Linked DNA regions of Neodiprion lecontei. The protein of the gene in region 1 interacts with the protein of each later gene in a pairwise test. Links are inferred from orthologs where the notes say so. Each region holds a gene or a part of one and is shown in the gene's direction. Other genes may lie near its edges. The genes, in order: unconventional myosin-IXa and cdc42 homolog.

Region 1 (4,853 bases):
TGAAATACGTCAATCAATCTGATTTTTTTATGTCAGATCAAAGCATTCACGAAGAACAGAAAATGAATTTTTAAATGTTAATTGTAATTTTTTTACATTTATTTTACATTGTTGCAAATCACTTGGAAAAGAAATAAGTCCACGGTGTATACGGTTGTGGCCGTAAATATTATCTGAAGCTAAATTTTTAAAAAGGTTATTAATCAGTATGAAAGCTTGTTATGGAGGATGTTTGTTTCAATTAAAATTGACAAAATGTCGGTGGTTTGAAGCAAAATCATTGAATTTAGCTTAGTTTTTCCGCAGTTTTTCTATTAAAAAAATATGTTTCTAAAACAAAAAGCTTCCATAGCAAGATAAAGAATGTCGTGATGAATGTTTGTCCAAATTTGAGACGCATAGCTTGAAATCTCTTCCGTTGAGAGTGTACACCGTTTTGAAAAACCACGCGTCGAGAAAAACGCGTTTAAAGTTTCGAAAGCCGAATTTTCATATAAATTGTTTACTTCTGATCAATCGGCGATGCCAGATCCATACAATGTCCCTTCCGCTTTCTCAAAATTGTTTGTTATCAGCAGCAATTTCATTTTAACGAGCTGTTCTGGCTTCTTTAAAGTCCAGAGAGTTTCGGTGGTTAGCAGTTGAGATGCGCTCTGCCTTGTAATTTGCATTACAAAACACTATCGACGGTTGATTTCGTATGCATTCTTTATCAGCGGACAAGAATTGATCTTGGTCCGATCTGACTACAAACAGTCAACACAAAGCTGAAGACCGAATCCGCGAATCAATTTTGCGTAAAATTTAACATCACCATTACACTACTTGCACTTGAGCAACTGTTGAAGAGCGCCGAACATTAAACCATATTCAATTAAACCATAGCTGAAACTTTTGTCAATTTTCACATCGGAATCCGGATTTTTTTTGCACTCTTTTGCCGCCGAAGTACTTGCGAATTCAGTATCGGTTGCAATGGAATGTCGATTTGTTCCTTTGTTCCACGCCAGGTCTTACGCTTCTGCTCAAATCACTTTTCCTAAAAAAGGCTGTAGCGACCGAAATTATTCGAATTACGGCCCAAAAATTGAACAGCATGTTTATAATTCTCTATCCTATCAAATGATGCAAAGGGAAAAAGAACTCCGATTTTTTGAAAATTTCACTTGATAAATGTCTTACACCCGCTGTACGCGAATGCATGCTTAGTTGTGCACCCTGCAGGCGCAAAAGACTAGATTGTAGATTGTTTGTCCACCGCGAACTCTCGGTTATCGGTTCCTGCTCGTGCATCGAGATAATCATTTTAATATACAAAATTTTATACTGATTTCATGACTAGTGACAGTCTGTCCGGGCTTTTTTTCATTCTGGTAGTAACTCATGAACGAAATTAGCGGGCCGAGCGCCAATCACGGTGGTGGGGGAATGTAGGTTTTCGGCTTCTCAGCTATGAGCGCTTCCGAAGGCATTTCTCTTCTCTATCGATACCGTCCTGACGGTCACGTGGCTGGGTCGCCAGCAAATAGAAACCCGCCGGGAGACCCACGTGATCGTAAAAATCGAAATGGTGGATATATCGAGACGCAGGATCCGACGACGAGTTGAAGGACGATAACTGGGCAAGGGCCTAGTGGCTTAATCATTGTCCTGGAATAACTATCCATCTGATTTTATCTCGTTCGTAGTAAGTAGTGTTCGGTCGGTGACTGTGGAAACTTCTGACTAGTGAACAGTATCGCTAAACGCTATAACGGTGAAGTGTATTTGTGCCTCGAGCGAAGGGGACAGACCCGGACGGCAACACACGGGGCTTAAGAAGCATGCGTGAGAGCCGAGATTTTTGTTGTTCCGCGTACAGCAGTGTTTCTGTCACTAGGAATTTCACCGCAAAGCCCATCGAATCCTCGGCAAGCCGTAAGGTATTGGTGCATCCTGTTATGTTTAGTCTATACCGCCGATCGGTTCCCGACACCCGCGGAAGTTAATGATCGCCGTAGCCAGCCTGGTTCCAAAATAAGATCGTAGGCCAGCTTACAGAGTTTGACAAGCCCCGATCTAGCCCAACACGTTTATGATTCGAAAAGTGCGCTGGTCAGAATTGACCTATTTGATAACCCGTTTCGACGTGAACGTGACGTTTCTTACGTCGAAATTATTGTTCGATCTCGGCTTATCCTCACAATACTCTAATTATCTCCAACTAGTCATGATCTCTCTCAAAATATTCACGTTGCAATATCCACATCATACATGACTGATGACTGATCGCTTTACTGAATCATTTCGTTCATTTGATCATACTCAACACATCCTCAGACAATTAATTATCTCTACAGCCATGGTTGAGAAAAAATACGTATGCATCAAGTCAGAATTAGATTTTGTTGCAATACAACAATCCATTCGGTCTTTTTTAACACTTTTTTCCTACCACGAATTCATCGTTTTATTTAATATTCGAATCAAACGAGAACAACAAGATATTTTTACCAAAGATTCTGTCTGAAATACATTTTGGCGTGGATCCAAAGTAATTCGCATGAATATCGAGGAGTTAAAAGATTGTTTAAAAATATGCCAACACCAGGCTCAAAATATCTTTTATTGAATGCCAAAATTGTTGAAATTCGTTATTCAACGTTAAACACTACTACATGATTCACAACGCTTACGAATTGTGTATGATACATTCTTGCTGTGAGCAGTGATAACACAGTACAATGTACTCCGAAACGAAGAACTTAAATTGAATATATTTTTATTATTTACAATTATTCACATTTTGATTGAGATACGACTAATGCTTACATTATAGTCATGTATCAAAAATAAATTTTTCGGAGAATGATCCTTTTAGATGGTATCATGTTACGTGGTACTAGAAAATTCTCAATGCACATGTATGTACATACATAGATTAAAATCAGATACGGGCATCTAGTTCTGTTGTACTATTGAAAGAATAAAATTGCAGAATGTTATCGGGTATTCATTATCATCATTTTTTACTGATAAGCAAGTACTGATTGTTTTCAGTTCCTTACCCTAAGTAAATAGATTTTCTTATAACATCCTTGTTCATATTGATTAAGGTTCAAAGAAAGTAAACATCCATTTTCTATCACATGATTTTTCGCAGAAATCATTAATTAATATCTGTGTTTTATTTTTTGTTTCAGGAGCGCTGATTTTGCGTTATGGAATGATTCGTTCTATTCATCATGTGAAATGTAACTCAAATGATCGTACTATTGATTGAATTTAATAACCATCAAACACATAATACTCAAGGCATAATAGTGCTGCCTAACTCCAAGAAATTATAGATTTTTCTAGTCCATTGGAAAAATTGTGTAACAGTCTCAATTTCAGCAGCGATAGTAGCAGGCGAGAGTTGAATTATATCATACAAATTATTACAAATGAGTGATCAAACCAGTATTTGAAGGAATTTAGTTGTTATTGTACAGATGTAGAGTATATTTTGGTTTCCGTTCATAATTGAGACTGTTAATTTATGTGTATTTTATTAGTTAAGGGACTCCTCCATTGATTTGCAACTGTATATTGAAACAGTTTCAAAAAAGCTTACAATATTTAATCATATCACTGAAACAACTATTCAACTTGGCAAAATAGTTTCTAATTGTATCACGACGAACAAAACTAGAACAACATTTATAATAATCAGTATATTAAAATGACAAACTAATGCTACATAAAGTAACATACTAATTAATATACTTTCATGATTTGAAATAAAAGGTTGGTCACCAGATTACTATGTGAATGCGGTTAATGGGGTACAGCGAAGAACTGTCAAAGAGTGTAACTTTCAAGTGTTTGAGTAAAACAATATTTAAAGTCATAAAAAAACACAATTAACCGATATTTCTAAAGTATCAGAAGCTTATTAACAAGATGTGTAAAAAGTATTTTAAACACTACCAACGTCAGGCGGATACAACGTTGCAGAGAGGAGATGAAGTGGTTCTGAAGTGTTTTATAGACGACATAGGACAATCTTATTAACCCTAGTAAGAGCAAGGTAAAGCCAATCATGCGTTCATATTGATTAGAAAAAAACTAATATTTGTAATATTTATAAGCATTTGTTGTATAGGTATGAGTATTCAAAGTTCAAATTTTCCTTATGCAAACAAAAAGCTGGATGTAGTTAAGTTTTCTTTGAACTCAGAGTTAAATAGAATTTTCACGACACAAAGACAAGTTTGTCTTTGTTCTTAGCATGTACCTAATTGTTGCTATTGTTAAATTAACTATTATCATTATTCATTCAGGGTTAAAAAATGGACAGCAACGGATCAGGAGTAGTGCAAGTATTCGTGGGCCAGTGGAGCGCTGAATACGAAGCACTCTCAATCAAAGCCACGAAACAAACATCATCCGCAGAGATTGTAGAATGTATAATCGAGCGGTTAGGATTTGTCGACGCAACCCACGCTAACAGCTATGAGTTAGCCGAAGTTGTTAGCAATTCTGTAGGGCAGGTGTGCAAAGAGAGAAGACTCGGACCAACGGAGTGTCCAGTAGCCCTGATGTTGTTATGGCCAAAAAATGCAGCTCAGCAGGAATACTATAGGTTTTATTTACGCAAAAAGCAGTCAGACTACTTGTGGTCTGACAGCAGATTTCCCATGGATCCTCAACTCTTGAAGGACTATTTCAATAGATTCTTGTATCAACCTCGAGACAAAGAGTACCCCGATCTTTGCCAACTGCCAGACCTCAACGAACAAACTCTGTTAGACAATTTAAGGGCAAGATTTTTGGCTGGAAACATATACACCTATGTTGGAAGTATCTTGATAGCATTAAATCCATTTAAA
Region 2 (5,580 bases), on another chromosome or scaffold:
AATACTCAAATTTTATTTCTCAAAATATTATGGCTTGATATATTAATGCATGTTGTGTCGTCTCATAAAATATGTTTTGCATCTTAAAAAGACAATTATACATTACCACGCGATGCCTATTTAATTTATTTCACGTTCCCTGATCTAGTATTACAACTTAATCTTGAAAGTAGTGATCTATTAGATAATATTAATCATTATTTAACGTGTTGTCATCCCCTTGATCAAAAAATGAAACATTATCCAGAGTCATCGATCGTCTGTATCAATACTAAATAAAAAAATAAAAAAATGAATAAATGAACATCAATTAAACTTCATCACTTCGACGGATAATTGTGCACGTACTTCATGAAAAAATACATAAATTGAGGGAAATGCTAATGTTTAAATTAGAAGCTATATGCTTGTAGAAAAACTGTAGGATGAAATATTTTTAGCATCTCCATCAATCTCGGTAAGTGAAATGTTTTACAAAAATCTTATCAAAAACAAAACATAAATCGGTTTTAATTGTTTGGATTAAATTCACGATGTGTTTCAGGAATAATGAGAAATTAATACGATTGCACACACCAATCAAAGTTAGAAATTGGACACCAATAAGTCTTGACTACCGACATCTAACTATGATACATTGTACAATTGGCGAGGAAAAGAATTTGAAATATCTATCATGAGACAAAATTTATCAATTACCGTGCGCCTTATTGAAGGCAATCAAACGTCAGCATACTCTGATGGTAAGAAAAATATACGCCTAGCTGCAAGCAACTTAAGGTACAGAGTGCTCCGTCCAGTAGTGTCTGTTCTTTCAATTATCTACGCGTTATGATTTATAATTCATATTAATACGACTCTACATGGTTATTTCGTTCAACAGTTTGAAGCTGCTGGACAAATTTGAGTGACCGACAATCCAGCGGCTCCGGCAACCTCCAATTTCCTTCATCTACCGACTAGATTGTAATTGGTAACAGTTTCTTTCCCCAGCTTAATTCGATAAAAAAACCGCAGGAATCGGTCGTTTCCACCATTTACTGAATCCGTTGACTGAAGAATGTAAAGATACCGCCAACCACCTCCAAACAGCTCCTACGTTGACTGAAGAATATAAACACAGTTACCCCTAATAGGCTTTGGTGTGACAACCTTATATCGTCGTGCGCTTGCACCCCCTGAGATGTTCCAACGGTAGAGTTGAGAGCTTATTGCAGAACATCAGAGAGTTACCGATTTCGACATGATGCTGGCTGCATTCACCTTCCGAGTAACACAGTCTTCGCAGTGGTAAGCCCAAGCCAGTACTTACTTACGTAAATACTTCACTTGCGACATGCTAAAACAGCGTTTCGATTGTATGCCTACGAAAATTCAAGATTGAGAGAGCAAATGAAAAGTTGTTGGGATAATTATGAATATTAATGTTATAGAATACATGGAGGAGTAGGGGGACGAAGGTGGTCGGAGGTGGTTGGAGGTGTTCGGAAATGGTAGGAAGTGGTAGGCGCTGGTAGGAGGTGGTAGGGGGTGGTAGGAAGTGGTAGGCGCTGGTAGTGGTGGGGTAGTAGGAAGTGGTAGGACGGGGACGATCGAATTGATCGACAATTCTAAGTTGCAGTCGACAAGTAGTCTTACGTACTCACTTTGTACCGACTCATTCTCAAGCTTCCATACCGACACAACTTTGACTGCTACAAATGTCGGTGCGAGCCCGTTAGGTAGAGTCGATAGAACAAACCCTCCTAAGCTCCCAGGCCCACCTGGGCCCACTTGCCCGCCGAAAACTGGTCACAAAAATTTACCCAGGGGTATCCGTCTTTATATTCTTCAGTCAACGCTGAAACTGTAACTACTAGGTCGAATGATAATCGTTTTCTATTACAAGCACAGGCCTTTTCTGCAAACGATGATGCGAGCGGATGTACGGTCTTTGCTATTCTCGCCACAGTTAGCCGATGACGTCATCGCGCCTGATTCACAGTAACCCCACCAGATGGCGCGAAGTTGGCAAACCCGATCGGCGCCCATTTCTCTTCCAAAGTTTCTTCTCTTATGAAGAACATAGTCTTCTGACAGTGAAGTGTTGTCGACGCCCAGTTACTTGTGAGTTTTTCGGATTTACTTGATCAAATATCAACCGCCCCGCAGTGTCGGGCGTGTAGCGTAACAATATCACAACTGCATACGAGACGTTGGTTACATCTGACTTCGGTACAAGCCTAGGTTCGTTGACCGGAATTGACAATGTACCTGTACCCAGCAAAATGGCCACTCTAAAAACACATTCACCATGCATATGCGTATTTTTCTCCAATTAGAACCTCGGTTTAACCGATGTACACAAGCGGCGTCTCAGCCTCCCGGAACTACTCCGCAATCTCCCTCTCATTTCTATACTTAATTACAGCTCGTAATGAATACGCATGCAATAATTCGTGACAATCGCATTGCTATCCCCTAACTCTATTACTATCTCACGTATAGGAGAGTTGCTCACATGATTGTACGTCCTCCTCAGCTGTGTGGCAATTTCAAGCATTAGTCAGTCCTGTCACGCGGAAACCTATTTTATTTTATTTTTTCCCCTACACTGTTTGTCTATTCACCACCCCCTTTGTTTTTTATTTCTGCCTTTATTTCATCTCTGAATCACCCTTCGAATTCCTAAACTGCCTGTAAGCACGGTTTAGTAGACTTATATCTTATCTATTCCAAATTCCAGTTCATGATTCGGTCTATTGACAGGTAGCAAAGAGCGAGAAGACAAAAATGCAGACAATAAAATGTGTTGTGGTCGGTGATGGAGCCGTGGGTAAAACTTGCCTCCTTATTTCGTACACCACAAATAAATTCCCCTCCGAGTATGTGCCAACTGTATTCGATAATTATGCAGTTACGGTTATGATCGGTGGAGAACCATATACCTTGGGATTATTTGATACCGCTGGTGAGTATTACTTCAAACTTCATTTCTCTATTGGTTAATTGTAGTGCATTTTGAAATTTTTGTTCCGAATCGTTCTTCACACGGCAGATTTTGGAAGGATAAATTTTTGACTAGATTTGAAGATTCACAATTGGAAACAAATCGATAATTGCTGAGAAACTTTGTTTACAAAAAGTTCTATAGATTACCATGGATAAAATGATACTGAAATATTGTTCAAAGCAAGTTTTTGTTAGAAATTTATAATACCGATGTTCAATTATGCCACTAAATCACTTTCCCGATTATTCAATGCTTATACGAACACAAATTTCATTATTTTACAGGCCAAGAGGATTATGACAGACTACGACCACTGAGTTATCCTCAAACGGATGTGTTTCTAGTTTGTTTTTCAGTCGTCTCCCCATCTTCATTTGAAAATGTTAAAGAGAAGGTATGAATTTTTTTTTCATTCTCTTCTTACGAATATCAGAGTGATAGCGAGCTTTTAGTTGATGCGAAAAAACAGAACCGGTAGCCAACCCTGAAATGTTTGCAGTGACATTTAAATCAAAATTTACCCCAACTATGATGCAAAAAGACTTCTCAGATTGTTGCTCAGTATCGAATATTATCGGCTTTATAATTCATATAAAATGTTGTCGCTACTTGCAGTTTTGTCGAGGCTCTCCAGTGTTTGTGAATTACACGATACTCGAATACTTATAGACAAGAATATACGTTTTATTGATATTGTCCGGTGAGTGTATTTGAAAATAATAACATGTACTTATGTCTTATCAGTGGGTACCAGAGATAACGCACCACTGTCAGAAGACGCCTTTCCTATTGGTCGGAACTCAAATCGATTTGCGAGATGATGCAGTAACTATTGAAAAGCTTGCAAAAAATAAACAAAAACCGATAACAGGAGAACAAGGAGAAAAGTTGGCCAAGGAGCTTAAGGCTGTGAAATACGTCGAGTGCAGTGCTCTAACGCAAGTATGGGTCATTTAACATTCATAACAAAATCTCGTCAATCCTCATGTATTTGTAAAATTAAAATATTCACATTGTACATAAACAGAAAGGATTGAAGAACGTGTTCGATGAAGCAATCCTGGCTGCACTTGAACCTCCAGAACCTGTTAGGAGAAGAAAGTGTGTCCTTTTGTAGGGAGGATATTTTTAATCTCCATCCCACTACTACGCGAGCACGGCTGATAGTGCCCGACATTGTAAGTTTTAAATATACTATCAAAATAGAATGGTACAGGCCTTGAACAATATATGCTGTATCCATTGATCAATTGGCATAAGATATTCCAAGGAACCAGACGCTTAGGTATTTATGTATTCAAAATGAACAGCAATCTTGCTAAATACGTCTTGGCATCATAATTCACAAGTTTATCAAGAATGAGTATATGAATGTTAGGAATAAAATGGTTCTCCGGAAAAACGATGGAAATAATTTTCACGGGGAACAGATGTTGGCTAGGATTATCAAATTATTTGAGACAAAGACGGGCCCCCTGCATTGCCTGATTTGTATTCGTCAGGCTGCTTCAGATTGAGGAAGAGACAGTATTTTCCGATTTATAAAAAGAAATAGAAAAAAATGAAAAAAAATGTAACACTGAACGTTTATAGTGCAATTAGTTTACAAACACGCATTATACATTATACATAATATTTAGATATATATTTGAGGGTAACCATACTCAGGTAAGATAGATTAATATCCTTCGTGAGATAATGAATTACTTTTTGTTTAGGATGGACTACGGTATTAAATGTGAATACCTTTCATGATCCTATAAAAACAAAAACAATAAACACATAAACATGAAATGAAACAGCCATCCTGGACGGGAGTAATCCTCCATGAGTTCTAAATAGGGAGCCACGCCACTCTAATATTGAGTAATCAATAAGGCATTTTTAATAATAAGTTACTAATGTGAATTTTTTAATAAATTAATAATGAAAGAAACAATTAAGTAAATCCGTTTTTTTCTTGATCAAAAAGCGCACGGACGCCAGAGAGAATATTTTACCGTTTCCGTTATGATTCCGATAGAGCAATTTTGCGGCCGGTGACAATGTTAATGTCCACTTGTCACTTGACGTTGAAAGCCACGATGATTGTCGCGTTTGTCGTTATTCGAATCACAATGAAAACGACTGACGAGACACACCTACGATTCAGTTGTCGATTAATACATCGCGCGTGTGTATTATGAATGCCCTTCCCTCGTACGTCCGTGCTGGTATCTTGTAAGTTAAATAAATCATGTATATTATATCTAACACAGCGTGTATATTATCTGCATTGTATAACTTTGTTCAATCAGAAATGTTGAATTCAGTGTCGCTCGTCTTATCGATTTCTTATAACTTACTCACAATTACACGGTTACGTGATCGACGCGTGCATTTACGAGAAAACCAATAACACTATTTTCACTAATTATCATACTCCAATATTTTAAATATTACGAAGCATTTTCTCACAGAGAATTTCAGTCTTACCACATTTTATTCATTTCCTGCATACCTTATTTCGATCCTAGTCGCACTTTAAAATCGTTACTATATTCAATCGTTATTAAAAAACTACGCGAAATTTCAAAAAATATATAATA

Evidence for each region.
Region 2: the proteins of unconventional myosin-IXa (region 1) and cdc42 homolog interact in a two-hybrid assay, tested with the Homo sapiens proteins (3 studies listed by BioGRID and IntAct). The link is inferred for Neodiprion lecontei from reciprocal best matches to the Homo sapiens genes MYO9A and CDC42.

Annotation. Positions count from the first base shown.
Region 1 is NC_060265.1:23,645,178-23,650,030, reverse strand, and holds the start of unconventional myosin-IXa, read left to right. Parts: upstream 1-1,547; 5' UTR 1,548-1,922; intron 1,923-3,182; 5' UTR 3,183-3,233; exon of another isoform or gene 3,234-3,768; 5' UTR 3,769-4,051; intron 4,052-4,304; 5' UTR 4,305-4,313; coding exon 4,314-4,853. UniProt on the Homo sapiens protein: Myosins are actin-based motor molecules with ATPase activity. Unconventional myosins serve in intracellular movements. Regulates Rho by stimulating it's GTPase activity in neurons.
Region 2 is NC_060263.1:36,016,558-36,022,137, reverse strand, and holds cdc42 homolog, read left to right. Parts: upstream 1-2,017; 5' UTR 2,018-2,106; exon of another isoform or gene 2,107-2,226; intron 2,227-2,725; exon of another isoform or gene 2,726-2,748; 5' UTR 2,749-2,772; coding exon 2,773-2,950; intron 2,951-3,276; coding exon 3,277-3,386; intron 3,387-3,736; coding exon 3,737-3,934; intron 3,935-4,019; coding exon 4,020-4,109; 3' UTR 4,110-4,170; exon of another isoform or gene 4,171-4,710; 3' UTR 4,711-4,931; downstream 4,932-5,580. UniProt on the Homo sapiens protein: Plasma membrane-associated small GTPase which cycles between an active GTP-bound and an inactive GDP-bound state. In active state binds to a variety of effector proteins to regulate cellular responses. Involved in epithelial cell polarization processes.